Caenorhabditis elegans: one gene and its partners. The protein of the gene in region 1 purifies or fractionates together with the protein of each later gene. This does not show direct contact. Each region holds a gene or a part of one and is shown in the gene's direction. Other genes may lie near its edges.

Region 1 (9,545 bases):
TCAAGAAGAACTTGTAGTATTATTCCAATACTCCAGTTTCGAATTTTGGACGTTTTCCGATCTCACCTCGAACGAAATGCTGTCAAATCTAAGTGAAGATATGCGCCTTTAAAAAGTACAGTAATCCATTCGCCGTTTTGGAATGGTGTAATGTACTATTTAAAGGGTGTAATCCTCTTTGCGCGACCTTCATTAAAAATATTTCGTTTGTGGCGAGACCTGGAAAATCGAAACTTACAATTGTTGATAATTTCGGGAACTTCAAAATCGCCCATTCTTTTTTCAACTTCGCTCTTAATTTCCTTTTTTCGCAGTTTACGGACAATTTTTTCACAAGTTATTTTAACTTTGTGAATAATAATTTTGCCATTAACCAAAAAAACACTATTTTTTAATAGAATTTCTTTTCTTTACACCCATCTTACACTAGATTTCTAGTTCAGTACAAATTGGCTACGGTCAACAATTCAGCACGGCGCCTAAGACGCAAACACCGTGTACACGATGACGCGCAACTGCACACTCTTCGGTTCAAATTGTGTTTTTTGCGTTTGAGTTCGTTGATTCATTTTTTCATCTATTTCTTCCGATTCATAGGGTTTTCTACTCTTTTTCAGTAATTTTTTTATTATTACGCTTGGCACAATGAGAATTCTCGCGATATTGCGTTAAAAATGGCTGGTAAACAGGCTTCGGTCGAACGAAGGCGGTAATGAGAGTCGAGTACTTGAAGAACATACTCTCAAGTGGCGACTGATCGATTGGGTTAAGGTGTGCTCGAAAAGCTCATTTTTCTTGTCATTCGATCTACTGTGAAAATGAAACTAGTTGGAATTGTCTCGAATATTATTTGTACCCTTGTTGTCCTGTTTTGAGATTTCCATTTCTTTGACTCGGTTTTTTTTGCGGCAAGCTGAGTCGACATATTTTATGTTTTTTGTATCACTTCGCGGCCACATTCTTTTCTGTCTTGATATTTTATTTGTGCTTCCTCTTTTTTTCTGCTTTCTCCTTTTCTGTACGCGTCTCCGATAATTATTCATGTAGAGAGATGGAGAGAGAGGTACTAGTGGTAATTGAGCAGCATGAGCATGAGAGAAGAGCCCTGAACGAGCCGAGTTTTCAGAGGAGCGCAGATATTATATGTATGTTTTGGCAAGCACGAGAGCAACACAACCAGTTAGATGAATACGAGTTTTAGTGTTTTCAATGTTTTTTCCAAGTTTTGAGCCATTTTTAATTTCGAATTTAATTTTAAAGGCACTACTAAATAATTGCAAGTATAGGGAAATTATAATTTTATCAACCTTGAGGATTTATTTTTTATTCAAATTTTTGGTCTATATTAAAAACCACTTGCACATTGTCAGAATTTCTTCCCTAATGAGCAAAAAGCGAAATTTTCAGCAATTCGATCACAAAAATCATGTGTTTCCGGATTTTGTTATGCGAAATTATCTAAATTTTGAAAAATAACTTGTTACCGACTTACATCACATCTCTTTTTCTTCGTTTTCTTCCTGAAAACAAATTTTCGGCAAGTCCCTAAAAAGAAGAGCCCAACTCATTACACTTTTTGCGAACACTAATTGACCCTACTTTCACTGAACTAAGTTTTCTTTTACGAAACGGTCAAAATGTGCTTCCAAATAATGATAGTAACATTTTTCAAATAAAAAAAGAAAGAGTTGACTGTCCATCAATGCTATTAGCTTCGCACACAGTTTCTTTGTGTTCCATCGTCGAGCTGTCTGCGTAACTCGTTTAGGTGCACTGTCTCGTGTTTCATACTCTGCGTCATTCCGTTTTCGCCATTCGGTTCGTCGCCGGCGCCATAGCCAATCGATTATTTGGTTCTTCAAGGCAGTAGTCGCCCATCTCTTCATGTCTCCTCGCGCTCCCTTCGGAAGAACACTGATATCTCTTCTCGCTCCTTCTCGACGTCTTCTTTTCCTCCCCCACCATGTCTTCTGCTTCTCCACCGGCTGATGCTGTCGTCGCCTCATGCTGCACACGTCGTTGACACTCACAGGCCCGCACACACATGGAGGGAGTGCTCCATCTCTCGTTTTTGCCGCTTAGAAAATGGATGTATATTGTTTTTTAATCCATCATGATTCCTTCCGTCTCCGTTTTTCACTTTTTATTACATTTTGCCAATTGGATTTCTGTTGATCACAACAATCTTATTCAGCATTTTCCTTATTATTATTTTGAAATAATCAAGCTTTTAACTTTTGAAATCATATTTGCTTTCTGATCAATAATTTTTTGTTTCTATCGGAGGACAGCTGATAAGTAAGAGGTTCCTTCTCGTGTAGTCATGAGTAGTCATTGATTATTTCCGTCTTGTTGTTGCCCTCTGGCCAGCTGCGTGAAGTTCTTCTCTGCGTGATCGCATACTGTTTCAGTCATTTTCCTATGACTCATCTGATAATTATTGATCGATCGATTGGTTATCTACCATTTTGAAAAAAAAGTTGAAGTTATAATCTGATTTTGCGCCTCACTCTGCTCATTATTATTCGGCACACACGCACACATACACACTCATTTTTGTTTCCTTTTCTGTCTCTTTCTCTCTACGGTCTGTCTATTGCTCCGTTTTTGGTTAACTGGAATTCACACAGGTGAGGGAGCGGATTAGGAAGAAACTTGAATAGAAAAAAGAATTCAGTGAAAATGAGATGATTAGAGAACTACCTCGAGCCATGTATCTCTGCTTTCGTGCTTTATGAGCATTCAGTGTTGATAGTAATAACATAATGAGATGACTGAAGAGACGCAGATGTTGTGAAGAAGCTCGAATTAATCTCGCGCGTTTGCTCTGCGCCGATGGATTAAGAGTCCCTTGGTTGGCAGACGAGATCTCGGTAAGCATCATCTGCTTGTTTTCTCCAACCAAATCTTCGTGCTTTTGACCAACAATTTTTTTTTGACTAAAATGCGGCGATCAGAGAGATATTACTTATAAATTGATCTACGTAAATTAAGCATCCATTATCAACATTTTTGTGTTATTTCATTTTCTAATTTTGTTGCACTGAAATGCACTCAAAACCGGTCCCTTCCGTTTACAAATTGCAAATGCGCCCTTTCGCACCCTAGTTTTTTTGCCCGCGTTTCGTCATGTAAATTGCGATAGCATTGCGGCACCGCTGTGATTCTCGGTCATTTTTGTGATCGAATCAAACATACAAACTTTTAAACAACGTTCTTTGTCTCTAATTCTCTGACCTGAGTGTTCCATTCCTTTTGACTCTTTGAAAAAACTTTGCAGCTATTTCTCTTTCAAACAATTGTCTTAATTTCCTGTTTTACCATGTTGTGCTTTTTCTTCATCACTCGACAGATTTGTTGCCTAGCAACCTGCGGCATGAGGATTTATGCTTCTTTTTTTCCCGATGTCAATCTCTGAATTCCTAATCCAATTTTGTATATAATAATTTCCATTTTTCAGACGCATTAAAAATAGTCGTCATTCCCGTGTCTCAAACACTTTAATCTTCGTCACATCCAGTGATTAGGAAGGGAAGAGAACCAAAGAAACAACGAAAAAGAGGAAAAATTTGAATAATGGTGATGGAAGTGGACGAACCTGCAGTTGCGGCGACTACATCGCAAAATCAACCGCAGGAGCATGCGAATGACTTTGATATGGATACCTCCGAGGGACCAATTGAGAACGATGAAACATTTGAACCGGTAGATCAAATAAATTGGAAATTCAACCAGGTGAAAGGAAATATAGATGCCGATGTGCACACGGAAGGTAAAAAATTGTTACTTGAAATTTCCCTACGTTTTTGATACTATTTCTTAAAGACGCACGATTTATTCAGAAAAAAGTTGGTGGTTTAATTGCCTTGTTTTTTTTTAAAATTAAAATACTACTTAGTTCATTTTTTGCGAAATTTGTCATATTCTTTTCATTTTTCTGTGAAAATTGTTTTAAATCAGTTTTTAAAGTAAAACATTCGAAAAAAATTACCATAAACATTATTGCGCGCCGAGACCCATCTGAATTAATGCGTGCGACTTTAAGATGATATGTCAAAAATTAGTAAAAATTATGATGCCTAGAATACTGAAAAATCGAATAATTTTCAGCCGATGTGATCTCTTGTGTGGAATTTTCACACGATGGTGAATATTTGGCAACGGGAGACAAAGGAGGACGTGTTGTAATTTTCCAACGAGATCAGAGTGTAGGTTTTAGTTTTTAGAAAGACGAGAACTGTTTTAAATATTTAATTTTTCAGGGAAAGTATGTGAAAGGCGTTCGATCGAGGGAATATAATGTTTACTCGACATTTCAATCTCATGAACCTGAATTTGATTATTTGAAATCACTAGAAATTGACGAGAAAATTAATCAAATTCGGTGGCTTAAAAAGAAGAATGCAGCCAATTTCATTCTCTCGACCAACGACAAAACAATCAAGCTGTGGAAAATTAGTGAAAGAGAGCGTAAAATTGGAGACGATGCATGGAATCTGCCTAGAACAAACAGAATCAAGTATAACATTAATGATTAAATATTTTAAATATATAAATATAATTTTCAGCACTTCCTCCTTCCGAGGTCGCTTACAAATACCCTCGATCGTGCCAATGGAGTTGATAGTTGAAGCAAGTCCGAGACGAGTTTACGGAAATGCTCACACTTATCACGTCAACAGTATTTCAGTGAATTCTGATCAGGTATTTTAATAATTTTTTTTTGTGTTCAGCTTTTTTCAATCCAAAGTATACGATGAATCAAAATCTCAACAGTATAACCTTCTTCACATGTTCGGCGTATTTTTTTAACTATTCAATTTATTAGAAAAATAGTACCAGGTTGGCTGAATTCTTTTTTGTGAAAATTTAAAATGTTTGGTACTGCAAGGACCAAAATATCAATTATGTATAAGTGAACCGAAATTAAAAATTATATTCCGATTTTCAGGAAACATTCCTATCTGCCGACGATTTGCGAGTTAACCTTTGGAATCTGGAGATTACCAATGAGTCTTTCAGTGAGTTTTGAATACTTGTTTTCAAAAAATTTTAATATCGATTTCTTCCAGACATTGTCGACATCAAGCCTGCTAATATGGAAGAACTTACGGAAGTTATTACTGCCGCCGAATTCCATCCAACGCAGTGTAATTGGTTTGTATACTCTTCATCAAAAGGATCTATTCGATTGTGTGATATGAGAGATCGTGCTCTATGTGATGCGTATGCTAAAAGTGCGTTTGGTTCTGTGTATTGATTATATAAATAATATTAATTTGCAGTTTTCGAGGAACCAGAAGACCCTCAATCTCGATCTTTCTTCTCGGAGATTATTGCATCTGTTAGTGACGTCAAATTCTCACATAATGGAAGGTACTTGCTTACGAGGGACTATCTTACTGTCAAGGTAATTATTAATAATTAAAAAGAAAATTTGAACAACTTTTATATTTCAGGTGTGGGATTTGAACATGGAATCACAACCGGTAGAGACATATCCAGTGCACAATTATTTACGAACAAAACTCTGTGCACTCTACGAAAATGATTCAATTTTCGATAAATTCGAGTGCGATTGGAGTGGAGATGACAAGTAATTAATTGCAGTACTTTTTCATATTATAATTTTCTTTTTGCAGACATATTCTCACGGGTTCGTATCATAATCTGTTCCGTTCATATGCTCGTGGCAATAACCAAGATGCGAAAACTTGGGAAGCTCGGCCTCAAGAACCACATTCACAGCTCCGATCTCGATTTGTTGTACCATCAGCGAAACGGAAGAGAAACAATCTGTCATCAAGCGGTGAAACGGTAAGATTTCAATTAAATTTAAAAAAACGTCTTCATGTTTAAATGGGTCTCTGCGCGCAAAAAAAGTTTATGGTAGTTTTTATTTTTATTTTATGCGACTGCTTCTCGTTTATTTTTTATTTTTCAATATAATTACTTCGTATTTAGCGACATTTTTTCGCTAAAAATACACTTTAAACGACGTAATTTTATTGAAAATGTAAAATAAACGAGGAATCAGCCGCATAAAATAAAAGCACAACCGTAAATTTTCTTGATCGCCAAGACTCATCTGAATACATCCGTGCACCTTTAAGAATGCATGTTAAACTCTCGTGAAAATATGATAAACATATCTTACTTCAAAATCAACAAAAACCCAATTTACAGACCGAAGAGGATCTTTCATCTGATCAACTTCAATTTGATCGTAAAATATTGCACACAGCATGGCATCCAAAGGATAACATCATTGCTCTTGCTGCCACTAACAATCTCTACATCTTCTCAGATGTTTAAATTATTGTTTTCGTAAACTTGTTGGATTTCGTCCTCCCCCAATCATCATTTTCCCTTTTTCTCAATTTATCCTCAAATATCACATTCATATAACTCTAAATTTTTTTTTCATATTTTCCCCATATTTTTGTGAGTCAATTCTTTCTCAAATCCCGTCCCTTCTTTCCCGTTTTCGTAGTCCTCATGTCGACTTATAGACATTTAATCGCGTATTCAATGTTACTCGCTTTCTTTCTTTCAAATCCTTCGTCATCGTAAATTTTTGAAGTAAAACAGGAATAAGCTCTTAGTTGGTTTCTATTTTTCAACTGTTAAAGTTGTCTTTTGCTTCCAATTTGAGATAGAGTTGTACTTTATTATTCTTATAGCTTCTTTTTCTTTACTCTCTCCCTCTCTCTATCCTCTCATATCATTCTTGAATTACGTGGCCCGTTTTCTATACTTTTCCCTCACTCTTCAACTCCAGTGTTCTCTTTCTTGTCTCTTCCACCACCACTTTTAAAAAGATAACTGTAGATCCTTAACCCCGAATCATTCGGGTCGTGTCTCTCCCACTTTTAGGATGATTTCTCCTGTTAGATTCACAATGTGTTTCACGACTTAATCCTCTTGTTTGAAAGCGTGTGAAGGTATTATTCTCACCTTGTTAGCTCCATTCTGTAATTTTGAAAACTATAAAAATCGCCCAAAAAATTTTTGAAATTTTTCCGACTTTAGTTATTTTCTCTCCACTTTCTCTGTTCGTTTGTCTGTCACAAAATTACAAACTTTCAAATCAAGAATCTTGACATAAATTTTTGTATTACTTCCCTCATATTTCTTCATCATTAAATCCCCGTGGGTGTGTCTCATCATTAAGTCTTCCTTTTCCCATAAAATTGTAAGCAATATTTATTTTCCAATCATAAAAACTCATTTATTGAATGGAAATAGTCGACAAATGTACAAAAACAATAATAATAGTATCACATTTGTGGCGATGAGGATTTCAGTTCCATGGCGACGATATGTTTGACGTACTAGTACTTGTGCATCATATGTGACTTTGGAGACTGAAATAAATTAGAAAAATATATTATTGGTGTCTCGACACGACAAATTTATAAATGCGAAAATGTGCGCGCCTTTAAAGATTACTGTAATTTCAAACTATTGCTGCTGCTGAATTTTCACCGAATTGCATAGTTAGAAAAATGGAATATAACAATAAAAGCATAATTTTGAACAAATAATTAGAAAAAATTTAAAAAAAAACTCGATGAAAATTCCGAAGCAATCATAGTTTGAAATTACAGTACTCTTTAAAGGCGCACAACATTTCGCATTTAACTAAAATTTGTCGTGTCGAGGCCGCGTACCGTATTTTTGACGCGGATGTATAAGAGAATAATTAATTGAAAAAAATCGATTATATTACGTTGGATTTTGTTTTGAAAAAAGTACAAAAGTTATAACTTTAAAAAATAGATAAATCGAATCGATGAATTATTTATACTTTGATTCCTTTTGACTTGATAAATATCATTTCCATAGACAAAAAAAGGAGAAAACTATATTTAATCCTTAATCCAAATTCTGACATTTTTATTTTTAAATCGAAACTCTCTTTCGGACAATTGATATTATTAGTTAACATTTACATCTACAAAAACAAGATAATCCTCTAAGGTGTTGTCAAGACAGAAAACATACGGCTGATTTGTTTAGTACACATGGCGAATTTTCTTGAGGGTAAGGGAAAATACACAAAAAATAATATGTGCATTTCCTGTGCAGTTTCAATTTTTTAAAGTTTTTTATATTTCAATTGTTCGAAAATATTTTTAAGGGTGGAGTTCGGAAATTGGGTAGTTTTAATGTACTCGGAATCGATATGCTAAAATATCGCAAAAGAAAACTGATAAAAACAGTGAAAGATGTACATTGCCAACTTCAAAAAATTCGCTAATTCCCTGTTTGAATTTCTTCCAAAATATGAATTCATGTACACTTTTGGATCAATCAACGACTTCTGACTCCACAAACTCTACCTGACATATTGGAATATTCCGAGAATTTTAAGACTAAATCCCTATTTTCCAAACTCCATCTTGAAACAAAAATAAATAGATTCTCGACAATTTACTAAAGAATATTGCAAAAAAAAATTCAGATAATTTTCAGAAACCCCATTGGTATAATAGTATGATAACTAAAAATCCTTCTAGAGCAGTTGTCGTCTACTGAATATTAATTAATCGATTGAAATTATTCAAAAACTTGAATTGAACTCACGATATCTCTTTGTCTTCTGAAGACGTGTACCAGTTGCTTCTTCACGCCATTCATTTGCAACTCCTCTTGTAATTGCAGTTGTCCAAAGAGCATTTGATTCATGTTGTTTTTCGACAACACCATCCAACATCTGATAAATTATATTTCAGACTAATAGCAAAAATATCAAAAACTCACTCGCCGCCCATCACCACTGTATGTCACTTGTGGTTTGCGCTTCTTCTGGAAATGATTTTGCATATACTTTTGTTTTTTTTTCTAGTTTTCATTCAACAAATTTTCCACTTTTTTGAGCAAGAGTAGGCGGACTGAGCCTCGGTGGGTTTGAATTTTCTCCTTGCTAAAATTCAAATTCCCAGAATGGAAGTAGTCGCTAAATTGTACAGTAAATTTCCAAAAGCATAGGATTAAACACAAACAACAAAAACGATAATTTCGAATGATTGTTTGATACAAATTTGTAAGATTAATGACGCCAGAAGAGGAACACAAAATACTAATTTGAACACTAATTTGATACCAGAAACTACAAAAATCGGCGACGTAAACTCATTGTCTAAATTATTTCAGATTTGCAAGCTTATCATTGAATTTAAAAAAGAATTGCCACAGTTCTTGGAATCTTGTAATATCTTACAATTTGCAAATATCAGAGCACAAGACAGACTCTTGAAAAAGACTTTTTTGGAAGAACGTTTGAAAACATGAATTAGGGTATTAAAATAGACGTAAAATGAGTTGATCTTTGAGATGTGAGACGTAACTTTAGAAGATTAATGCCTGATAAACAAAGCGATCGATTTATTAAAGAGGAAGTATGCGATTCCATTTCTTTCATATCAAAAAATATTATTTGAAAACTTCCAAATAAAAAAGTGAAAATGCAATGATTTTTTATAGACTGGATATATCGGATATATCGGATATATTGGAAATGAATACAATTATGATTTACC
Region 2 (7,771 bases), on another chromosome or scaffold:
AAAAAGTCAATCATATTTGAATTTTGACACACAATTACCTGTCTCCACGCAATGCTCATTTTCAGAGGGTCCGTTATCTTCTAGAGTTGATGGAAGTCTTCCTATGACACGAGACATTTTGTTTGAGTAGATATGAGGTGTAGTATTTAGGTGGTAAATAAGGGAAAAAGCACTTTCTGCTTGAAATAAATTCAAAACAGGGCTGATTTGAATAAATATGAACTCGCGGGCGCGGTAATCTTTTTTAGGTTGGCGCGAGTTTTTGCAATGCAAACGCGCTCCACCGCAAATCTGAATTTTCGAACATTTTTCGCCAATTTTTATCCTTATTTTTTTATTTTTTGCAATATTTCGCTATTTTTATTTGTTTCTCCCACCAAAAGCGCACATTTTTAAATCAAAATACGATTAAATAAAAGTAATATAACTTTTTAAATAAGTCCAAATAACCTTTAAGCAAAGTAAGGGTCGAATCTGAAACTATTTCTTGAAAACAACTTTTTTGTCTCATTCATCGAAGATTGGTTGTATTCGGAAGTGAGAGGTTGACAAGTTTTTTAAAATCCATTTTATTAATTATTCCGAAATACACATTTAGTTCCAATAGTTTCGAAATTTAAAACGTTTGAGTCATCCTTCATTTTTTCTGCCTAGTTGCTGTGATCATTTGGAGAGAGTATAAGAATTTATTAATCATTTCGAAAAAAAAAATCATTTTTGAATATCCTGTATCATTCTATTAAACTTGAAGTTATTCGGCCGGTGTTGAACAATTTGCTCCTCATTGGCGATCATTTCGTTATTCTGATTTCTTCGATTATAACGGAAGGAGAGTGGATCTGAATTTACAGTAGATTTTAAATTGGTTTTTCTTGAATTTCCTCACCTAATTTTTGTAGTGGAACAGGCGCTATGTCCACCGGCTCTGCAATATTGTTCAAGCCGATCGAGCGATTTGCGTAGAGATTTATTTCATTAAAGATATAATCATCTGACAAATTATCTGGCACCCCTCGTTTTCTTTTAGAAGTTTCCTCGATAGGTTCGGTTACAATTACATCGGTTTGTTGAGCTGAAATAGGATCCAAATTATCAAATATCCTTCTCTATTCATGTTATAAATCTTGGTTGTAAGAACAGTTAACATAATTAGTAACAATTAGAAACCTGATGTGATTAAGATTCTATCACTGTTTTTAAATAGTAAAATAAATAATTTTGACATACGTATATTGATAACTTCTCCTCTTTGTAACGCCTCAATCAATGCATCCAAATCAAGATCTCCATCACCTTGAGCCTCACGCAGTGCTCTCTCCTTTCGAAGCCTTTCCTTCAGTCGTTTAATCTGTCATTAAGCCACTAGTATACACCTTGGAGAGCCACCACAAACCTGCTCGGCTCGTCGCCGTCTACTTTCCTTATCTATCTCCTCTTCACGCTTGCCGTCTGCCCATTTGTTGAAGCTGAATGTGTTGAACACATTCGCACCGTCTCCCATTGTACTGTTCTGTAAATATATAAACTGAGCTAATGAGAAGAATACGTACTAGAGCACCACGCTTTTGCGAAAAATGAGAACCAAAAGCTCGATTGTGCACTCACTTTTGCATATTTTATTAAAGCTTTTGACGTCCTTTTCTCTTTTGTTCGCCTGTTTGAAATTTTTGAAAACCAGGAAACCATGATGATTTTAAATGTTTAATGATGTTCTTCTAACAGCATGCCCACGCGTTTTGCCTGAAAATTCGAATCAAATTAATTTTCAGCCTTTTTATTGTTTAAATATCAGAAAAAAACTGGCTGTTCACTAATCACGTGATGCCTGTGTTTTCATCCTCCCTTCTACACTGAAAATATTCTATTTTAAGGACATTTTCAGTCATTTTCCGGCGCTGTTCCCTCTGTCGTCGCCACGTCCAGTACACCGAAACCGACGACAAATCGATGAGAGCTCTACGACCGCAGGCGCGATGGATTGTGCTATTGCAGTGAGAGAGAGATGGCCGTTCTCTGCTTCTCTGCGTATCACTGTCGCAGCTGTTTCTCTTCTTCTCCTTTCGCCGCTCTTTTTTTGCATGTTCGTCAGGTTCACTATAGCGATTTCTTAATATCGAAATTTCACGAGTTTCAGAGTTGATTTTCGAAAGATCAGTGAAAATATTGTCCACGTGGTAGAGTTTTTCACTGATTTCTCGAAAATTCCAATAGTTTCTTTAAAAATCACACTCTTCTTCTTTGAACAATTCCATTTCATTGATTTTCTATATTTTCGTACAGAAATAATAATGTTTCAACAAAAATATGTTTTCTAGCACTGAACATTCTTAAATTTGAATTTAATTTTCTTAATATCAGATATTCAAAGATGACTATTCGTAGATTCTGCAAGTTCTTTCAAAATACTCAATTTTTCTATTTTCTCTCCAATTTATTTCTCCAAAAACCACCCGGTAATCAATATTTCAACACATTGCTGTGTTATCTTCACTGCGTCTCCTCTCTCTCTCTTGTTCTCCTCATGCCCGATGATAATCCGTTTCTCTTCCCGTTCTTTCTCCTTTGAATAGCCGCGAGATTAATTTTCATAAAACAAATTTCAGCACTCTTCATCATGTCGGTTGTCGAAGAAGCCACTGACGACGCGCTCTACCCGATTGCCGTGCTCATTGACGAGCTGCGCAACGAAGATGTCACGTTGCGACTGAACAGCATTCGCAAACTCTCCACAATCGCTTTGGCGTTGGGTGTGGAGCGCACACGCAACGAGCTCATCCAATTTTTGACCGACACGATTTACGACGAAGATGAGGTTCTGCTTGTGCTCGCCGAGCAACTCGGAAATTTCACTCCATTGGTCGGTGGTCCAGATCATGTTCATTGTCTTCTCCTTCCACTTGAGAACTTGGCCACAGTCGAGGAGACCGTGGTCCGTGACAAAGCCGTTGAGAGTCTCCGCAAAATCGCCGACAAGCACAGCTCGGCCTCATTGGAGGAGCATTTCGTGCCGATGCTCAGACGTTTGGCCACTGGAGACTGGTTCACATCCCGTACCTCGGCTTGTGGGCTTTTCTCTGTTGTTTATCCACGTGTCAGTCCAGCTATCAAGTCGGAATTGAAGAGGTGAGAATTAAGAAAAGAATAACTAAAGCAATCTAAATTAATTATTTTCAGCATGTTCCGAACCCTGTGCCGTGATGACACCCCAATGGTTCGCCGTGCTGCTGCTGCAAAGCTCGGAGAGTTCGCAAAGGTGTTTGAGAAGACTGCCGTCATCGAGGGTCTCCACTCCAGTCTCACTGATCTTCATGTTGATGAGCAAGATTCTGTTCGTTTGCTCACTGTCGAGTCAGCCATCGCTTTCGGAACTCTCCTCGATAAGGCTAACAAGAAGAAACTCATCGAGCCAATTCTCATTGAATTGTTCGATGACAAGTCGTGGAGAGTTCGTTATATGGTTGCCGAGAAGCTTATCGAGATTCAGAATGTCCTCGGTGAGGATATGGATACCACACATCTCGTTAACATGTACACGAACCTTCTCAAGGATCCAGAGGGTGAGGTTAGATGTGCTGCCACTCAGAGACTTCAGGAATTCGCTCTCAACTTGCCAGAGGACAAGCGTCAGAACATTATCTGCAACTCACTGCTCAACGTTGCCAAGGAATTGGTTACTGATGGGAATCAGCTCGTCAAGTCGGAACTCGCCGGTGTCATCATGGGACTTGCTCCACTGATTGGCAAGGAACAAACTGTCTCTGAGCTTCTCCCAATCTACATGCAGTTGCTTAACGATCAAACCCCAGAAGTTCGCCTCAATATTATTTCCAGTCTTGATAAGGTCAATGAAGTGATCGGAGCAGCTCAATTGTCCACATCCCTCTTGCCAGCCATCGTTGGATTGGCCGAGGATGGAAAATGGAGAGTTCGACTCGCAATTGTTCAATTCATGCCACTTCTTGCTTCCCAGTTGGGACAAGAATTCTTCGATGAGAAGTTGCTTCCGCTTTGTTTGAACTGGCTTACCGACCATGGTAACTTGATTTTTTCTTAAAAATGTTTTTAATTTAATTTTTTCCAGTGTTCTCAATCCGCGAGGCATCGACCCTCATCATGAAGGAACTGACACAGAAGTTTGGAGGACAATGGGCTAGCACGAATATTGTACCAAAAATGCAGAAACTTCAGAAGGACACCAACTACCTGCAGAGAATGACATGCTTGTTCTGTTTGAATACACTCAGTGAGGCGATGACTCAGGAGCAGATTCTGAAGGAGATTATGCCAATTGTGAAAGATGTAGGGAAATTTTACTTTTTTATTTAAAGAAATCGTAATTTTTCTAATTTCAGCTTGTCGAGGATGACGTGCCGAATGTCAGATTCAACGCCGCAAAGAGTTTGAAGCGAATTGGAAAGAACTTGACCCCAAGGTGACAGGAAAATCTTTTTCACTATCCCAATTTTCTATTTTCAGTACATTGACGTCCGAGGTGAAGCCACTGCTCGAGAAGCTCGGAAAAGATTCAGACTTTGACGTTCGATACTTTTCAGAGGAAGCCAAGAACTGTAAGTTTCAGTTGTCTTAAAATTTAGAGTGAATTTGAAATTGAACATTTTCAGCACTCGGCTTGTAATCGAACATATCGCTAGTCAAATTGGAATCTCTACATCTTCCACTTCTCAATCGTCTTATTTTTCCATTTTTGTTCCCGAGCACGCGAATAATCTCTATCTCTCCTCATTCATTTGTAAATGTTTAGCCCTCGAGACAAAACTCTGTATTGTAATAGTTCTAACCACCGTCCCTCCCACAACAAAACAATACAAATTATAATCGTTAAATTATGCGACCTCTCTTTATGATTATTTTCATTTTCCTCCCACTTCTATCCCGTATATTTCACCATCCTACTTCTTTCTGTTCTTTTTCCACCACACACAATCACCACTTTTTCCATTGCGACCCATTCATTCATTTATTTTTTTTGCAGAATAAAAGGTCATCGTCTATTATGAGAAAAAAGGTCTCAGGTTAGGTTAGATCAGTGTGGTTGAAATCTCTGAAAATATTTGGAATAATGGTGTTATCCGGCGTATGCCACGTCGCAGAAGCTTTTGAGCAGAGAATCTCGGTGCTTTTGCAACGTGGATTAAATATTGCTCAAGTTGCAAGCGTTGTGAAACGTCTCATTCAAATAAAAAATTTACTTTTGCCATTTGGAACTTTGAAACCATCTTTTTGGCCGTTTGGCAAATCCAGCTGGCAAAGAGCGGGCATAAATTTATATTAAACGCGCAGTTTCCCGATTGATTGTCTCAGAAACTTCCAGTGCTCAGATTTTGCCACGTGGCTAGAAGTTTTCGTTGCCAAAATTATTTTTTCCAATTAAAAAACTGTTCGCATTTACTTTTCAATTTTTCAATTCAATCGGAGAATTGTTTACGTAGTTTCTCTTTGCAGGTGCTATGCCAAGACGATGATAATTTATTTCCTCCAACTATTCCTGCTGCCGTCCACGACCGCCACGGCAGGCGTATTTGACCTTGCAGAGTACCGACGGGTCTCTTATGACGCGAATATTGGCGAGAATTTTCTTTGGTTCGCCCCGGAATTGGATATTCGAAAAGTTACAGCCAGCAATATTGATGATCTCGAAAAGCGAATTGTTAATCGGATTCCCGATGACTCGACCGAGCAGAATTTGATGTTTGTGACGAGTAAAGGAGGGCAGAAGTTTGCATGTTCTTTGCCAGATGTGGAAGATGTTAAGGTACACATTTTTAGATTAAATATTGTGCTTTGTTGTAAAAATCGGCAAAAATTTGTAGCGTGTTGTTTACAGTTGACTTTAGGTGTTCTTTGTTTCATTACAGCGATAATATTAGTTCGAAAGTCACGTTTTCGAGTTTTTCGCTTAATTTTTTAAATTTTCACCATAATTTATAAACAATCAGTGAAAATACGCTAATAAGAGTTTTATTTCAGTATTCAGACATTAAAAACGCATAAACGGTCTCAAATATTGTCTGGTTTCAGAAAGACAAACCAAAAAGCAGCAAGAATCCGAAAATCTATGGAGACGCGCTCGCCGCAAGCTTTTACGTGGACAAATGTGTGAAACTACGTGGTAATCACTGGTGGTCTTATATTCTGTGCCGTGGACAGACAATTGAGCAAGTGCACGGAGAACGTGAGTGTCAATAATAGGAAAATAAACCAATCAATATACATATATATTGCAGCTGGTCAGGAGGGATATGTAAAGAATATACTCGGATTGTTCGATGGAAGTCTCAAAATGCCATCCTATCAAGAATCAACGGATGATCGATTGCTTTTCGTCGAGGAAACGTACACGAGTGGGACTTTCTGTGATTTGGAGGAATACAGGGAGCCACGGATGACTTCTGTTCGGGTATTATATTAAAAAAAAAAGACATTTTACCGCTCTAACTACGGGATTGTTACTTTAAAACGATTTTTGAAAAAATGTATACAACATTTTTTACTTTAAAATACTAATTTAATTTTTGAGAGAAATATCAACATGGCTAAAAATCTTCATTTTTTTTGGAAAGTTCACTGATGTGTTCCATAGTTTTTTAGACAATTTTTAAAAAGCATAACGTACTGAAATTCCAAAAATAAAAGTTAAAATCTAGGCTAAATTGGCGAATAAAGTGTTTTTAAAGTAACAGGAAAATAAAATTATTATTTATAAAATTGTACTTCAAAAAAAAATCAATTTTAAACTTCAAAAACAGGGAAAAAACTACCAAACAACCTTTCAAACCTTGGTCCCTATTCAAAAACCACAAATTTCTCCTAAACAGCTAATACTTTCCAGTTTTTCAGTACGAATGTGACGCCCAACTGAGTACCAACGAGGTATACATCTCTTCAGTTGTCGAAGTGAAACCATGTCAGTACTTGATGATTGTAAAAGTTGGAACCCTCTGCAGATATCCGGAATTCTTGCCCGCAAGCCAGTCAAATACCAAGAAAATTGGATGTCAACCATTTTTGAGAAAAGAAGATGTTCGACAATTGTTAGAACGACAGCTTGAGGAGAAACAAAAGGCAGAAGAATCACAAAGAGTATTGACAGTGAAAAAGCGAAAATTCCAACGAGCTGCTGAGAGATTCAATGCAATGACCAAATCACAGAGAAATCTTCATATTCCTGACGTGGTGAAACGGATTAACGCGGAAATGGATTATCACGCAGCTCATTTTAACCTTCTGGTTGCAGGATTAGGTTAGAGTTTAAGAAAAAAAAGTGGCCGCGAAAATTGTTAGCTTCCAGAGGAAAAGTTAAATTTAAAATCTTGTCAAATAATATCCAATGAATGGAAATTCAGTTTTTTTTCAAAAAATATGTAATAATTTTCTCACTTTTTAAGAAAGAAATTAGTAAAAATACAGTGAAAATAATTAATTTTTTTGAATTTTAACAGAACTCGAAGGAAAACCAATCACACAAAAGAAGCGAGATTATATGTGGAAATTATTCAGCACGGCAGATATCAGTGACTACATTTTCTACTGTAACTCCCCCAGTTTTCAAAATTAAAAAATTAGTAACATATTTTTCAGCTGATTACGACACTGTAAACGACGAGAATCGCGGTCATCTATGGTACTATTTCCATGATCCATCATGGCCGAGAAATCAATTCCCAAAGGATATTATGGCCACTGCGGTTGGGAAATGTTGTGAATTTTCAAGTAAATTTCTAAATTCTATTGTAGGTTCAAAATGGATATC
Region 3 (7,634 bases), on another chromosome or scaffold:
CCATGTTCATGAGTTCAGCCGACCGAAACGGAGCACACTCAGAATGAGAGCTCAGAGCTCACTTTTTCTTCTTATACTTTAATTGTACCTATTCAAATGCAAGTGCTTGTAATCCTCATTCGGGTTAGCAGCGACTTTTTTCTTTCGTTATAAATTTTCAAATGGGGATCCCTGAGATCAAGATTAGAAATAATCCCCATGTGATCTTCACACAAAGTTTCGGATTTTTTTTTGGAATTCAAATTCAAAAGGTTAATTCCATATTTTTGTTCCGCGTTTTTGAAATTAAAAAATCATTGATGTTTTATTGATCGGAAACTGCATATTTTATTGCAATTCAAAATTGCGGGGCATGTTTTCTGCTCATTCTCCCCCAGATCACATCCGTTCCAAGTACTCTCAATTGAAAAATATAATGCAATTTCGTTTTATTAATTACACTCACGGGAAGGTACTAAAACTTTAGTGACAATACTTTCTGTCAACTCAATTTCCAGACTCCAGACACCTACGGTTTCCGGGTAAATTCCGATGGAAATGAATGCTTCCTCTCTTATTTTTCTGAGTAATAACAAGAGTATCAAAACTTTGCATACTTGAATTGTAATACTAATGTGAATCACAGCTTAATCGGAAATCTCTGAGGAACCGTCTAGTAAGGACTTCTGATTCAAAATTCAGTGTATTCTGAAACTAATATTCAAGTTGTAATGCTTGGCTAGGTAGTGTTTATAGGTAGTGTTTATTATAGTGATCCTAAAGAGTTTTGTTTTTAATACTTAGAAACATTTTGAAGTTCAACGGCTATTGGACAAGGGCCGGCGGCAATTGCCGTTTGGTAAATTTGTTTGTTGACAAATTAGGCAAATCGACAAATTGCCGGTTTGTCGACTTGCCGGAAATTTTAATTCTTGCCAATTTGCCGATTTGCCGGAAAAAATCGTTTGCCGCGTTTCTAATCGTTTCTACAGTAACCTTACTGAAACCCAGTAGTATAAAAGCCTGGTTTTCCAAGCAGGTACATAAACTTTCATTACCTGAAAACCCACCCCCCCCCCCCCCAACTCCAGAAAGAACCAAGATCACTTTTCCTTCCTACCTACACACTCACTTCTCCCTTATTACATTTCACCATTCCTTATATATTTTCTACCGAAAATGGCGAGTAAGGAGAAAATGTGATTTATAATTATTATTCGGGTCGAGAGCTCTTGCTCGCGAGCAGTAGCTGCCTGCTACCTAACACAACACACTCATTTCCATGTTTTTTTCACCACTTTTTCACGTTTTGTTAAGGTTTCTGTTATATCAGAAGGAACAGGTTTTAATTAGGTGTAACCTAGAGGAAAATTTTTGAGTTTCAAGTAAGATTATGCCTATTTTTCTTCCATACTTGTTTCAATTCTCGTTTTCAAAAAATCAACAAAAAAAATTCCTGGAAAATTAAATATTTCTCTTTTTTTTTCTTTTTCAATTTTTCTTGGAAGTCAGAACTTTTGGAATTTGGAGAGCGGCAAGCAAAGTGAAAACAATCAAATTTCTGATCAAAAACTATAGCAAAACTATCTAGTTGAGCATGAGAATTGATTATTTTCTGCAATGCGGGTGCTTGAATTTGAAAGATTGAATTGTTTTCTATACAAATTTCAGACTATTTTTGTTCATGAAATCTGCAGTTTTAATATTTCCGATTTTTACAAATTAACTGGAAATTTCTGAAAATATTCATGCTTCAATTTTTAGATATTTTCAGATATTCTGGGTGTCAAAATGGACATAGTATTCGTGTATAACATGTTCTCAGCTTTTAAAAAATATAAATTTCAACCCAAAAATCGCAATTTCATTTTTTCTCCATTTTTTTGGAGGCAAACGTCCACTTTGGTTTTTGAGAGCGGAGAACGATTTTGGAGATTAACCAACATTTCTGATAAATTCTTTAAAAATTCAATTGTGGACTTAAAATACCGTGGTTTAACAAAATTTGAAGTGAAAATGTTTAAAAAAATTAAATGGGCAAAAATCAAAAATTTGAGAAAATAACCAGAAACTAGGAAGCCGGTAGACCATGAATTGCTACTGCCGTTTATAAATCTGCCCCACCAGCAAACTATGTTCCAAAATAACTTGAATTCAAACTCCACAAATTTTGTCCCGTTCCAGAAATCTTTGATCCACTGAACTTTTACGTGCACCTGTTACACTTTTCCCGCCGGATCTTGAGTTCAAGCTTCTAACAAGTAATAAAACAGCCTACGTATAAATACATTTATAACATTAACATTCGAAAAACCAATAGTTCACCTACTTCCTTCTCTTCCCTTATTATTTCTTGTCAGAACTCTCTACTATAATTTCGCAGTTTTTTGTCACTTTGTTTATCCCACTTCTTCGTATTTTTCCCTCTTCTGCCTTCTTCTCACTTTTTTAAAGCAATCATTTGGTTATATTCATACTTTCTATAAGTTTTTGGGAAGAAGAACACTGATTTTTGATATGCGTCTTTTCTTTCGGAAAAGATCCCCGAGAAAACTCAAGTCTAGTCTCAGATTTTGACAAATTTAAGTGTTAAGCTGACAAGGAAAAGTTTCGATTTTTTTAAATGTTTCATCGAAAATTAGGATTTTCAAAAAAGCTCATTTTAATAGGTCCCCACAAAAATTATACTGCTTGGAAGCATTTTAAACAAGGCAAATTAGATTTAAAAGATTTCTCAAAATCTACAGTTTTTTATTATGCTTTGGGTCATAGGAAAAGTTTGAGATCTTTTCAAAACAAAATTATTAACCCTAAAAAATCTAATTTTTTCCACAATGAATATGGCTAAATTTTCAGTTAGGATTTATTTGATTTCCAAGATCTAACTGGCCATTTCCACAATTTAAGCCAAAATTCAAATTAGTTTTCAGCCTTGTGAACGCGAATTTATGTTGCTCTGTTCCCCGTCATCCCATAAAAAATCAGCCGTCTTCCGTTTTATGACTACTTCAACACACAAAAAATCCAATCATCATTCCATTGCCACGTCATAATTGAGGCTTATTCAATTTGTCTTCTTCATGTTTACTCACTCCTTCTCCTTTTTCAGAGTCTTTCAATTTCAAATTTTCAGAACATTTCCTGATTGAGGTGATGAGAAGTTGTGCTTAAGATTTTTAATAAAACAAGTATCGTTATAAATCTATATATTTTCAATGGGTGCCACATTATGTGCACCGAAAAAGAAAAAAACCGTGAGTTTTGAGCTTGATTCGGAAGATGAACATTTCTCAAAAATTTTTGGATTTTTTACATTCTTTTCAAAAAAACAGTACATAAGAATAGAGAACTACAGTACTCTTTAAAGACGCACAGAACATTTTAAAAAATTATTTTCCAGCAAGTCGGAGCATCTTGGGTCGGAAACGAATCTGAAAATCCATTTGACTTAGCCCTCAATAAAAAAGACCGTACTCTGTTACGTGAAACTTGGCAAAGGCTAGATGATCCGAAGGATATTGTTGGTCTTATATTCTTAGATATTGTCAATGATATTGAACCGGACCTCAAGAAAGTGTTTGGCGTGGATCGGGCTCCGCGAGCCGCGATGCTGAAAATGCCGAAATTCGGAGGGCATATTCTAAGATTCTATGAGTTCATGGAGCAGGTTAGCTGTCTAAACTACATTTTTAAGAGTATTTTTTGAACTCAAATTTATTATTCCAGCTCACGTCAATGCTTGGCACGTCTGAAAATCTGACGGGTGCATGGCAATTGGTACGAAAAACGGGAAGAAGTCATGTCAGACAAGGGTAAGTGCGCAGGTGCAAATGCCGTCACTTTGTATGATTATATAGTCCAATGCCATTTGATGATTTTTCAGTTTCTTGGAACAAAATCAGAACCAGATGGAGAAGAACTATTTCGAAATTGTTATAAATGTATTTATCGAGCGATTAATTCCATTTCTGACGGGTGAACAGGTGAGATTGTGGGATCAGTTAGGTCAAGCTAGTTTGAAAGTTCAACTAATTGATTTGTTGGAAGGTTTATTTGGAGTACAACTCAATCAAATTATTTTCTAATAAAGGAATTAATTGAGCTTGATTTCTGAAAAAATCTATATAATTCGAAAAAGAAATTTTGCGGTCGAGAAGCATTTTGAAAATTTTCCCGAACGTAGATTAGGATGTTTGTGAGCGAGGAAATTACTTGAGCTGTTTTCAAAAAAATGTTTGTTTTTCTTTTTAAAAAAGGTGCAATTTTTGATCCAGTTGGGCAAAATAGTTGCGGGTTTTTTCAAAAAATTAGAATAATATTTTCAAATAAGTATTTTTAAATGTTACTTCAGATCGGATTTTTTAGTTCTTTGTGATCCTCTTCCTATAAATTCTTGTAGATACCTATTCGAAATAAGATTGTTTAAATTAAATTGGTTTTTTTTTCTAAAAAAGTTCATAATCTCCCCTCGTAAAACAAAAAACCTTTTCACCCAACAAATATGATTTTAGGAGCTTCCATCATCAGAAGGAAAAGAGAACAAAAAAGTGCGATTTGCTCAAAACTACACCACATCTCAAATCACAGACGTCTGGAAGAAGTTCTTAAACACAGTAATTAGTCAAATGACTGACTCATTTGAATTGGAAAGAGCAAAACAGAAGAGTGCACAAACAACAAAAGCCTTGGCTCCACATCAACATATCGAGATTTCGGAAAGGAAGAAGAAGAGGGTGGCGGTATGTTATTAGTTGATATCATACATTTGTTAATTTGATATTGGCATTTTCAGGAAAAACAAAGCGAGATTGAAAATACGGCAGTTTCAAATGAACCAAAAGCTCAAGAGCAAATGTTCGAAGATCCATTCTGAAAGTATATTTTTATAGTGATATACCATATAAAACATATTGACACTGAAAAAACACTGATAAATAAAACTGATTAAATTTATTGAATAAATGATTTTTTTTTGATTTTGTAGCACATTTAATGCACAAAAATGAGCTAAGCTTTTTTTGCTATTGCGTCACACAAAGACATGCAATTTTGGAGACAAAATAGCATTGCTGAATTAGGTTTAGATACATTTTTATGTGAATTGAAAGTCAGAGCCAATTACGTTATAGGCCGATTATTTTTCGAGTTTATGTATATGAGGTTTTATCCTCTTGAGGATCTATTCCATTTCGGTAAGAGGATTCAAAAAAAGTCAACTAACAAATCACTAAAAATTCAAAATACATTTTTCCGTCGGCAACATTTTAAAATCGTAATTATTTTGCCAAGATATGATAGTTACCTAAGCGTTTTTTGTGCTGTAAGTAGGACGTCAAGTTTGAAAATGCAAATTTCATTTTTCACCAATTTTTCAAACGATGTTAAAAAAGAGTATAGAATATTGCTTAGTTTGCTCTCCAGCAACCACAATTCACGATACTGAACAAGTTTTTTTTTAACCAAAATATTTATTAATTTGTTGAAAATATAATCTAACAAATTATTTAAACCGTATTTTTCAATTTTCTCAGGTCAATTGTTCAATTAATGCTCTTGAGAAATGCAATGTCAATGTCATCTCGGCTTGCACAATTCCACTCCGATCGTAAACTGAATTTGAATTCAATTATAAGAATGAGATACTTACGACAAATGACTAACCATCAATTACAAACGATTTGTTCTGTGTGTTGTTTGGCACTAAAATCAAACTTCCGAAGCCGAGCTCCTCTTCGTCGCCTGGACTGATCTTGATGATGGTTAACTCAAATTTGATGCTAGCACGGATCCATTGATCGAGAAGAGAAAGTTGACCACGCGTCAGGGTGTATTCTGAATAATTGAGATTATCGGGGTTAACTTTAGAGAGTGGCATTTAAGTTATTTTCTAAACGTACTTCAAAAAAAAAACCAAACATTTTAGAAGAATTTTTGAATTTTATTTTTTCATCCTCTGAATCGCCACATTTCAATGAACATTAAAAAAATTAATAATGTTTCAGTCAAGCTCTGAGATATGAGCTCTTGAAGTTGAGCTCTTGATGCACCATGTTCAAAAACTAGGTCCTCCAACTTTAGACGTTCATATCTCAAAAAATTGTCACAAAAATGTAAGTGCTAAAATATTTAAAATTGAATGTTCTATATTTCTGCTTAAAGAATTGTTTCAATACCTTTGAATTGAACTGGGGCCATAGATATCAAGCAGATAAGTATTTTATACTTCCCATAAAAAATCTCAAAAAACTAATACCTTTTGTATATCGAATATCCACCATTTCTTGTGGTCTTCTCGGAAAATCAAATATCGTACTCTTCGACTGCTCATTCGTAAAATCCAAAAATACCCAATCAACGAAAAACGTCGTCTCTTCTCTTGTCAATGGAGTCAGACTTGATCCGGGAACAAGTTCAAATGTTTCCAATTGTATTGAAACTTTCATATTCGGTTCCAGTACATCTTTGTCGGTTGGTGACAACGGTTTTCGCACTTTGATCAAACTATGCCCTTCATAATCCGGCAGTGGAACAGGTGCTTTTTCGGCGCGACGTGGTGATGAAGTTGACGAGGATTCAGATGCTGAAATTCAAAAATAGGGATGTGGAAAAGAAATTTCTATTCGAGGGTTTGCGGCTTCTATTTAATATGCAGTAATAAAATAACTAGAATTCGACTTTGAACACGTTATAACATTTGTGTCAAAACATGAAAAGCTATAAAAATTATTTGAAATCATCAACTCACGTGGAACTGAAAAATGCAACGGATCTGTGAATAAAATTCTTCCTGTTGAACCTTGTTGCCTGGTAGCTTCTGGTTGCTCAGTCAACGCAATTGGTCCAACCGGTATATTCCTGGGTTTTGCAATTGGAGGGAGAGCTCCAAGAAGGCTCTTGAGCTCTTCGGTTTTTAACTCTCTTTTTCTATCTTCCTCGGTTTCAGCTACCTCGTTAGGCTCTGATTCCACCACCGGCTCTGGTTCTGGCCCTGATTCTGGTTCTAACTCTGGATCTACAGGTGCCACGTCATCCGTCTTATCAACAGATCGTTGTGTCACTGGTGTAGACTCCTTACTCTCGTTAGTACCATTTGGTTTCAAGGGGTCTGATGGTCTTGGTGTATCCTCCGGAGAAGGAAGGTTTTCTACTTGTCGCTCTGGAACTTCTAGAGGCTCGGGATCTCTCTGGGATGATACTGCTGACACCGACTCTATTCTGAAATTAAAAAAATGCTTTAATAACTATATTAATTAAAAATTACTCGTCATCATCATCATCGAATACAATTCTATCAGCTTCTTCTTCTCCATCGGAATCAACAAGCGCAGGTGTAACTGCGGGTATCTCGTAGTCGTAGGTTTGGGGCTAAAATAGAAATGTGGCTTCAAATAAATGCTGATAAATATTCTTACATTTGTTGGAGGGCTAAACAGATCTTTTGAGCTATGAGAGAATGATGTATCTGATGAATCTGTTGACAACCTTCTGAGCGGTGCAGTTGTGGGCTCTGGAGCTTTTGGAGGCATGGAAGTTGGCTCAGCATCATGAAGTTCAGCTTCTTTAACAGGCGTCACCACAAACTCTTTGGATGTTCGCCTGACCGGTTGAGGAAGGATCGGAGTATCCTTAACTTCTTTCAGTGGTTCTTTTGGTTC
Region 4 (6,451 bases), 5.0 Mb from region 1:
GTGGATAGAGTATTCAACGCCATGAATGCTTCTTTCAAAATTTCAGTGTCATTCTTTCCAGCCAACAATCGCAATGCCTTCTTTCGTCGCTTTTCGAGGTAATACAGATTGTAGGGGAAATGCAGATGAGATGCGTACCAATATTGCGTCACTGTATTGTAATTGAGCTCGTCCGTCCAAAATGTGTGCATCTGGAAGGGAAAATTGATTTATTTCAGCTTAATTTTTCTTTAATCTTACCACTGCTGGATACAAATTGTGATGTAAATAACAGGAAAATGCGTCCAACTGTGCTTTCTCAATAGTGGTCAAGTCTGCATCGATAACCACGTCTTGGCCGCACTTTTTCAGAATATCCACAAATTTTTCGAAATCTGTCACTGGTTTTGCTTCTCCTTCGGTTTGAGCGACCATTGGGAGCTCACCGCTCGGCGATCTCCAAGGACGGGTCGATTGGATGACTCTTACTGGGCTGGCACACATTTTAGAGCACGCCTGGAACAGAAATGACGATAATTAACCAAAGTTGACACAAAATCTTACCAAAAACTGCAGAGACACAACGTCAATAGTTGGGAGACCGAAGTCTGACGGCCAAATGTGTAATTCCATTGATATTACAAACAAATTTTGAGCTTGAAATTCCAAATTCGGAAAAAAATCAAGATGGACTAGGAAAAAAATGGAGCCGCTCAGGTGAAACCTCGGTCACGGCCATGCCACTTTTTTGCGGGAATTTTAAATTGGAGTTTTTTTAATGTGTGAATCACGGAAGCTGCGGAAAATTTCGAACAAAGCCTCAATTTTTGCTAATTTCTCGAGTTTTTGAAGAATACGTTTGAAAAAACATCAAAACTGCAGTTCATTCATGAATGAAAAAAAAACAGATTTTTAAAAAGATTTTAAAATTACAGTATCTCCCCAATTGCTATCCTGTATAATAGTTGTTTTGAATGAAAATCTATGTAAGATTTTTTTTAGTTTTCCACAAATAATCGTGCATTTTTAAAATATTTCTCACGAATCAGTTTCCACGAGACAAAAATGTCCCCGCTTGGTGAGTTGCAAGTGCGCTCCACCGATAAAAGTGTCGAGAATGTTCACGAAAAATCGTTAGAACAGTTTTCGCGTTTTCTCCTCTTTTTCGCCCTTTATCTCTTGACTTTCCCCATTTTTGACTTCAAAATCGATTTTATCGTGTTGGATTTACGCAAAACAATTCGCTTTTTGGTATAATTTTCATTCTGACACTCGAAATTCGTCGATAAATGAAGAAAAATTATTATTTTCTTTTTCAGATTCGTATTTATCAAAATGGTGAAGGAAACAGGATATTATGACGTTCTCGGAGTAAAGCCGGATGCTTCAGACAATGAGTTGAAGAAGGCCTACCGTAAAATGGCGCTCAAATTCCATCCAGACAAGAATCCAGACGGAGCTGAGCAATTCAAGCAGATCTCCCAGGTTTGTTACGAAATCCAGCTGCAAAGTTGAAATTACTCATATTGCAGGCATACGAAGTATTATCAGATGAGAAGAAACGTCAGATTTATGATCAGGGTGGAGAAGAAGCACTTCAAGGCGGTGGTGGTGGCGGAGAGGGATTCCACAATCCGTTCGACGTATTCGACATGTTCTTCGGAGGCGGTGGTCGTGGTGGTCGTGGAGAACGTCGAGTAAAACCAACGGTTCACAATTTACGGGTCACACTCGACACACTGTACAAGGGTGTTACGAAAAAGCTGAAAATCTCAAGAACTGCCACTTGTAAAGGATGCAAGGGACTTGGAGGCAACGAGGGATCCGCTAAGGAGTGCTCTGATTGTCGTGGACGTGGAATCAAGGTTCGTGTTATCAGAATGGGACCAATGGTTCAACAAATGCAATCTCACTGCGACAGTTGTAATGGAGAAGGCTCAACATTCCTTGAAAAAGATCGCTGCAAAAAGTGTAACGGAAAGAAGCAGGTTTGACTTTTCTCCAATCGAATTCGAAACTATAATTAGTGATTTCAGGTGAAAGAAGACGAAATTATTGAAGTTGGAATCACGCCTGGCATGAAAGATGGCGAGAAGTTTGTGTTCGAAGGAAAAGGAGACGAAGTGATCGGTATTGAGAAGCCTGGAGACTTTGTAGTTGTGCTCGACGAGGTTGAACACGAGAAATTCGTCCGAAAAGGCGATAATCTGATTATTCAACACAATATCGATCTTTCCGAGGCTCTGTGCGGATTTGTGCGAACAATCAGTACACTTGATGGTCGAACAATTTTCTATCGTGTTCTTCCTGGAGAGGTTATTGCTCATGCCGATGTTAAAGTGATCCACAACGAGGGAATGCCAATGCGTCGAGCATCATCTGATAAAGGAGATCTTCTCGTACAGTTCGATGTGAAATTCCCCGATAAAATTAATCCAGATGCCGCGAAGAAGCTAGCCGATTTACTGCCTGGAAAGAGTTCGTTTTATTGCGTTTACAGTGTGAAATACTAATCATTTTTCTTTCAGGAGAAGAAATCATTGATGAAGACGCGGAAGTCGTTGAGCTGACCGAGTTAGATCCACAAGCATCTCGCAGGAATTTCGCTGAGCGCGACGACTTTGAAGGACACGGTGGATTCGGTGGACATGGACACGGGCCACAAGGCGTTCAATGCCAACAGTCTTGAATTTCACACCAATTTACACTTTTTCTGGTCACTTTCCTTCACTATTTTAGGATTTCAAACTTGGCTCCATTTCTTTCCTACTATCTGCATGGTTTTCATCTTTTAAAAACTCATAAGCCTAATTTCGACGATCTGTGATCTTGAAATTGATTTATTTTTTTGTGTTCCCCGTTCGTTTTACTTTTTATTCCCATCAACTTTAGTTCCTGCTCCATATGGTCTCGTTTCGTCCCCTCTTCATTACTTTTTTTGTTTGATATCGATATCCTACCCACATTCATTTCAGTGTTACGTTTTCCCTTAATTGACTGTCCGTCAGTCTTTTGTGAACAAGGGAGAATAAAAAAATTGATTTATTTTTGCCATTCCTTTCGCCTAAATCCGCCGATCGATGCGCTCACGGCAAGAACGCACGGTGGAAGGGAAAGAAAAGCGAAAAGTAGCCAAAAATGTGCAGGTGGATGCGAATCGTAGATGAAAATTAGAAAGAAAATGCTGGCAATCGTGTGTGACAACGTGGAATATAGAGATCGAGACGGCGACGGGAGATCCACGAGAATTGAGGCGAATTCGATGAGAATAGCGAGTTTTGTGAAGACCAGGCAAACTGTGAAGCCTATTCGGGCCTCCTCACTGATGGATGCACCGCCCGAAACTGATGCTTCCAAATGAGAAGCCTTGAAAAATAGATTTTAGATTTTAAATAATTTTTTTCGAGACTTCCTAACCTGAGAAAATATTGTAATCGTCGACAAGGCGAAATGTCCCATCAAACATTGAAAGTATTTAGTACAGGTGTCCGTTTTCGTGAACATTTCTTAAAGAAGCTTGCGAAAATCGATGAGTTACTCCACTAGCCCACTTCTCCCGTTGCCATGGCGACGTTCCTTCTTTCAATTACATTTTCGAGTGCTTTTTCGCTGTAGACCCTATAGGTTTACATGAAAAATTTTATTTTCTATTCATTTTCCAAAAAAAAAACCCTGAAAATCCCTTTTTTTCCTTCTTTTTCTGTGAAAAAATAGATTTCAATTTCTCGAAACGCGAGAAATGGCCTAGAAAACCCCATAGCGGCGGCCATGGCCGGTGTCCGGCAGCGTTGAGTTAGATGTGCAGGTATCGTAACCCAGTGTGCATTTAACGTTTCTCCATCGTATTTCGCTCACTTTTCTGCTGGCCTAAACGATTTTTTGACTTTTTTCTTGAAAATTCATCGTTTTTTCTGAAATTTCTGTTTAAAAAAATTGAATTGACAAATATAATCGATTTAGTTCATGTTTTCGCCAGATTAGTTCGTCAGATTTCTTTAAATCCTCGATTTTCGCCATTTTCTCTTGATTCTAGGATTGAAATTGATATCCTGTCGCATTTTCCTTATCTCTGCATGTGAAACAGCTTAATCCGAATAATTTCTAGTGAGAATTGTCTTAATTTCGAATTTTTTCGCTCGATTTATTGAAGGCTACGTTATAATTTCTTTAATTCTTTGGTTTTCAGGGTACAATGACGTTCAAGAGACGTAACCACGGAAGAAACAAGAAGAACCGCGGACACGTCGCGTTCATTCGCTGCACCAACTGCGGACGCTGCTGCCCAAAGGATAAGGCCATCAAGAAGTTCGTTGTCAGAAACATCGTTGAGGCTGCCGCCGTTAGAGACATCGGAGATGCTTCTGCTTACACCCGTTAGTTTTTAGAATTTTTAAATCATTCGTGGAAAGGATTGAATAATCTCGCAGCACGTGTGTTTAGCTGGATCCTCACTTTTTAAGCTCCGAGACTTGCCGAAGAGACGAATTTTATTGAGAGACCCTAGTAAAATTATCCCGCATTTCTAAGTCAAAGAGCGAGTGGTCCTCCTGAATACCCGTGTCACAGATTCTGATTAAAAAAAATGTTTGCTCATGAAATTATTTCATAAAGATTTAAATTCTATTTTCAGAGTATGCTCTTCCAAAGCTCTACCACAAGCTCCATTACTGCATCGCCTGCGCCATCCACAGCAAGGTCGTCAGAAATCGTTCCCGTGAGGCCAGAAGAGATCGCAACCCACCACCACGTTTCGGACAGCGCGCCGCTGCTGCTCGTCCAGGAGCTCCAGGACCACGTCCATAAGTTGTTTGTTCTTTGAAATTATAAACCTTTTTGTTGCAATCGAATTCTGTATCGCACGCGATGAAAGATGAACCGATTAAAGACGATTTGATTTTATAAAATAATATATTTATGTTATTAGAAGAATTATCAACAGAAAACAACAATGGAAAGTGCGCAAATATAAGTGAGCTTCTATACCCGAACTGAATTGTGTTGCTCAATGCTGTTCACATTTACTCCTTTGAAATTGCTCAGATAGATGTTATGAGGTGATGACTCCACAGTCAGGTCACTTTTCTCGTCTTCCTCTATCCGTTTCGTCTGCGGTGAGCATGATGGTATTGAGATCCGTCGTGTTGCTTTGGTGTTTTTATCGCTCCATTTCTTCCCACCCCGTTTTTTAGAAATGTGCGGGTTGTCTTGATACAAATTTTTCAACTTGTACATGCGTAATTGCGTGTAGACGCGCTTCAACTCTGCCTGAAAAACAAATGACATTGAATAGCGGGGACGAATTTTAAATCCAAACTGACCCGAATGTCTTCGGGGTTCATGTCAGCGATCGGAACTTCCGCAAAGTCGATAGTTCCGTTTAGTATGTTGTCACGTAGTTTAGCCAGCGAAGGATGAGCACGTCCCGAGTGGCCGCCAAGTGTCATCGATCGACGACTTGGCTCTCCATTTGACTGAAAATAAATAATATTTAATGAATTTTCTAACCAATTACCAAATAGAATTTAGGTGCCACAATGATAACAATGTTCACCGAAACTGTAAGCTGTAGATGGACAAATGAGACGATGAAGAGGGTGTCAGCTCGTCCCGAATTTCGAATAGAATACCTTTAAAAAATTGAATTTACAAATTTTCAGATATTTCAGGACTTCACTCACCTAATCAAGTTGGCCATTAATGTGATAACAGCTTCCAAGCACACAGCTACAGTGAACTGCCATCGTTCCAGCCAATCACTATTCCTGGCCTTATAGCACAGCCTAACTGCATACAGAAGGAAGAGCAACTCGTACCCGTGCCAAATAACATGCCATCCTTGCATCAGACATTGTGGCCACGCTGTTCTCCATAGTGCTGTATCGCCCCACGACCCAACTGTCCAGGCCATCAGGCCAGTTATTGTTAGTGCAAGCATGGCTGCAAGGTATTTGAGCATATCTTGCTCGCGGACAGACACGTGTTGAGCTTTTCGAACTCGATATTCTTGGAGGTTCCTGGAAAGTAATATTTTAAATAGCAAAAAAAAAGATTGCATCATAGATATGGACGGTGGCAAACGATTGTTCCGGCAAATCGGCAAACCAGGAAAATTGTCGATTCGCCGAATTTGTCGGTTTTAGAATTTTTAAAAATTGCCGATTTGCCGTTTTTTGCCGGAAAAGCAGCAATTGCCGAACTTTTCGGCAAATTGTAGTTTTGCACATTTTTAAAGGAAATTTCAATTTCAATCGGAAAATTGCCAGAATTGAAATTTCCGGCGAATCGGCAATTTGCCGGAATGGAAAATTTTTGGCACTTTGCCGGAATTGAAAATATCCGGCAAATCGCCGGAATTGAAAATATCCGGCAAATCGGCAATTTTTCGGAATTGAAAATTTCTGGCAATTTGCAGGAATTGAAAATATCCGGCAATTCGGCAATTTTTCGGAATTGAAAATTTCTGGCAATTTGC

The links.
Region 2: the proteins of sur-6 (region 1) and paa-1 fractionate together in Caenorhabditis elegans (co-fractionation; one large-scale study listed by BioGRID). This does not show direct contact.
Region 3: the proteins of sur-6 (region 1) and glb-12 fractionate together in Caenorhabditis elegans (co-fractionation; one large-scale study listed by BioGRID). This does not show direct contact.
Region 4: the proteins of sur-6 (region 1) and rps-26 fractionate together in Caenorhabditis elegans (co-fractionation; one large-scale study listed by BioGRID). This does not show direct contact.

Annotation. Positions count from the first base shown.
Region 1 is NC_003279.8:9,750,662-9,760,206, forward strand, and holds sur-6 (Serine/threonine-protein phosphatase 2A regulatory subunit sur-6), read left to right. Parts: upstream 1-3,460; 5' UTR 3,461-3,576; coding exon 3,577-3,772; intron 3,773-4,110; coding exon 4,111-4,208; intron 4,209-4,262; coding exon 4,263-4,519; intron 4,520-4,568; coding exon 4,569-4,704; intron 4,705-4,951; coding exon 4,952-5,021; intron 5,022-5,072; coding exon 5,073-5,237; intron 5,238-5,285; coding exon 5,286-5,410; intron 5,411-5,459; coding exon 5,460-5,596; intron 5,597-5,642; coding exon 5,643-5,817; intron 5,818-6,186; coding exon 6,187-6,315; 3' UTR 6,316-7,227; downstream 7,228-9,545. Other genes in the region: F26E4.2 (Tnp_DDE_dom domain-containing protein), read right to left, coding at 7,228-7,367, 8,590-8,719, 8,767-8,811. UniProt on the Caenorhabditis elegans protein: Probable regulatory subunit of serine/threonine phosphatase let-92.
Region 2 is NC_003281.10:5,448,127-5,455,897, forward strand, and holds paa-1 (putative serine/threonine-protein phosphatase PP2A regulatory subunit), read left to right. Parts: upstream 1-2,603; 5' UTR 2,604-2,614; coding exon 2,615-3,123; intron 3,124-3,174; coding exon 3,175-4,034; intron 4,035-4,081; coding exon 4,082-4,299; intron 4,300-4,352; coding exon 4,353-4,432; intron 4,433-4,476; coding exon 4,477-4,568; intron 4,569-4,622; coding exon 4,623-4,636; 3' UTR 4,637-5,011; downstream 5,012-7,771. Other genes in the region: skpt-1 (F-box domain-containing protein), read right to left, coding at 39-117; F48E8.8 (Hsp20/alpha crystallin family protein), read right to left, coding at 712-839, 887-1,072, 1,228-1,348, 1,394-1,510, 1,606-1,686; F48E8.4 (MRH domain-containing protein), read left to right, coding at 5,480-5,773, 6,040-6,193, 6,246-6,418, 6,859-7,261, 7,461-7,550, 7,600-7,706, 7,756-7,771. UniProt on the Caenorhabditis elegans protein: Acts as a scaffolding protein for phosphatase let-92 and its regulatory subunits.
Region 3 is NC_003280.10:10,727,123-10,734,756, reverse strand, and holds glb-12 (GLOBIN domain-containing protein), read left to right. Parts: upstream 1-3,104; 5' UTR 3,105-3,194; coding exon 3,195-3,233; intron 3,234-3,379; coding exon 3,380-3,646; intron 3,647-3,705; coding exon 3,706-3,791; intron 3,792-3,862; coding exon 3,863-3,962; intron 3,963-4,490; coding exon 4,491-4,718; intron 4,719-4,771; coding exon 4,772-4,852; 3' UTR 4,853-4,953; downstream 4,954-7,634. Other genes in the region: mks-5 (Protein fantom), read right to left, coding at 5,507-5,589, 5,641-5,811, 6,233-6,559, 6,725-7,194, 7,241-7,344, 7,392-7,634.
Region 4 is NC_003279.8:14,755,765-14,762,215, forward strand, and holds rps-26 (Small ribosomal subunit protein eS26), read left to right. Parts: upstream 1-4,165; 5' UTR 4,166-4,171; coding exon 4,172-4,352; intron 4,353-4,609; coding exon 4,610-4,782; 3' UTR 4,783-4,862; downstream 4,863-6,451. Other genes in the region: mtx-1 (Metaxin-1 homolog), read right to left, coding at 1-191, 241-495, 544-612; dnj-12 (DNaJ domain (prokaryotic heat shock protein)), read left to right, coding at 1,315-1,464, 1,512-1,967, 2,016-2,457, 2,508-2,668; tmem-107 (Transmembrane protein 107), read right to left, coding at 3,022-3,345, 3,397-3,483; gpr-158 (G-protein coupled receptors family 3 profile domain-containing protein), read right to left, coding at 4,957-5,244, 5,298-5,450, 5,492-5,606, 5,658-5,993.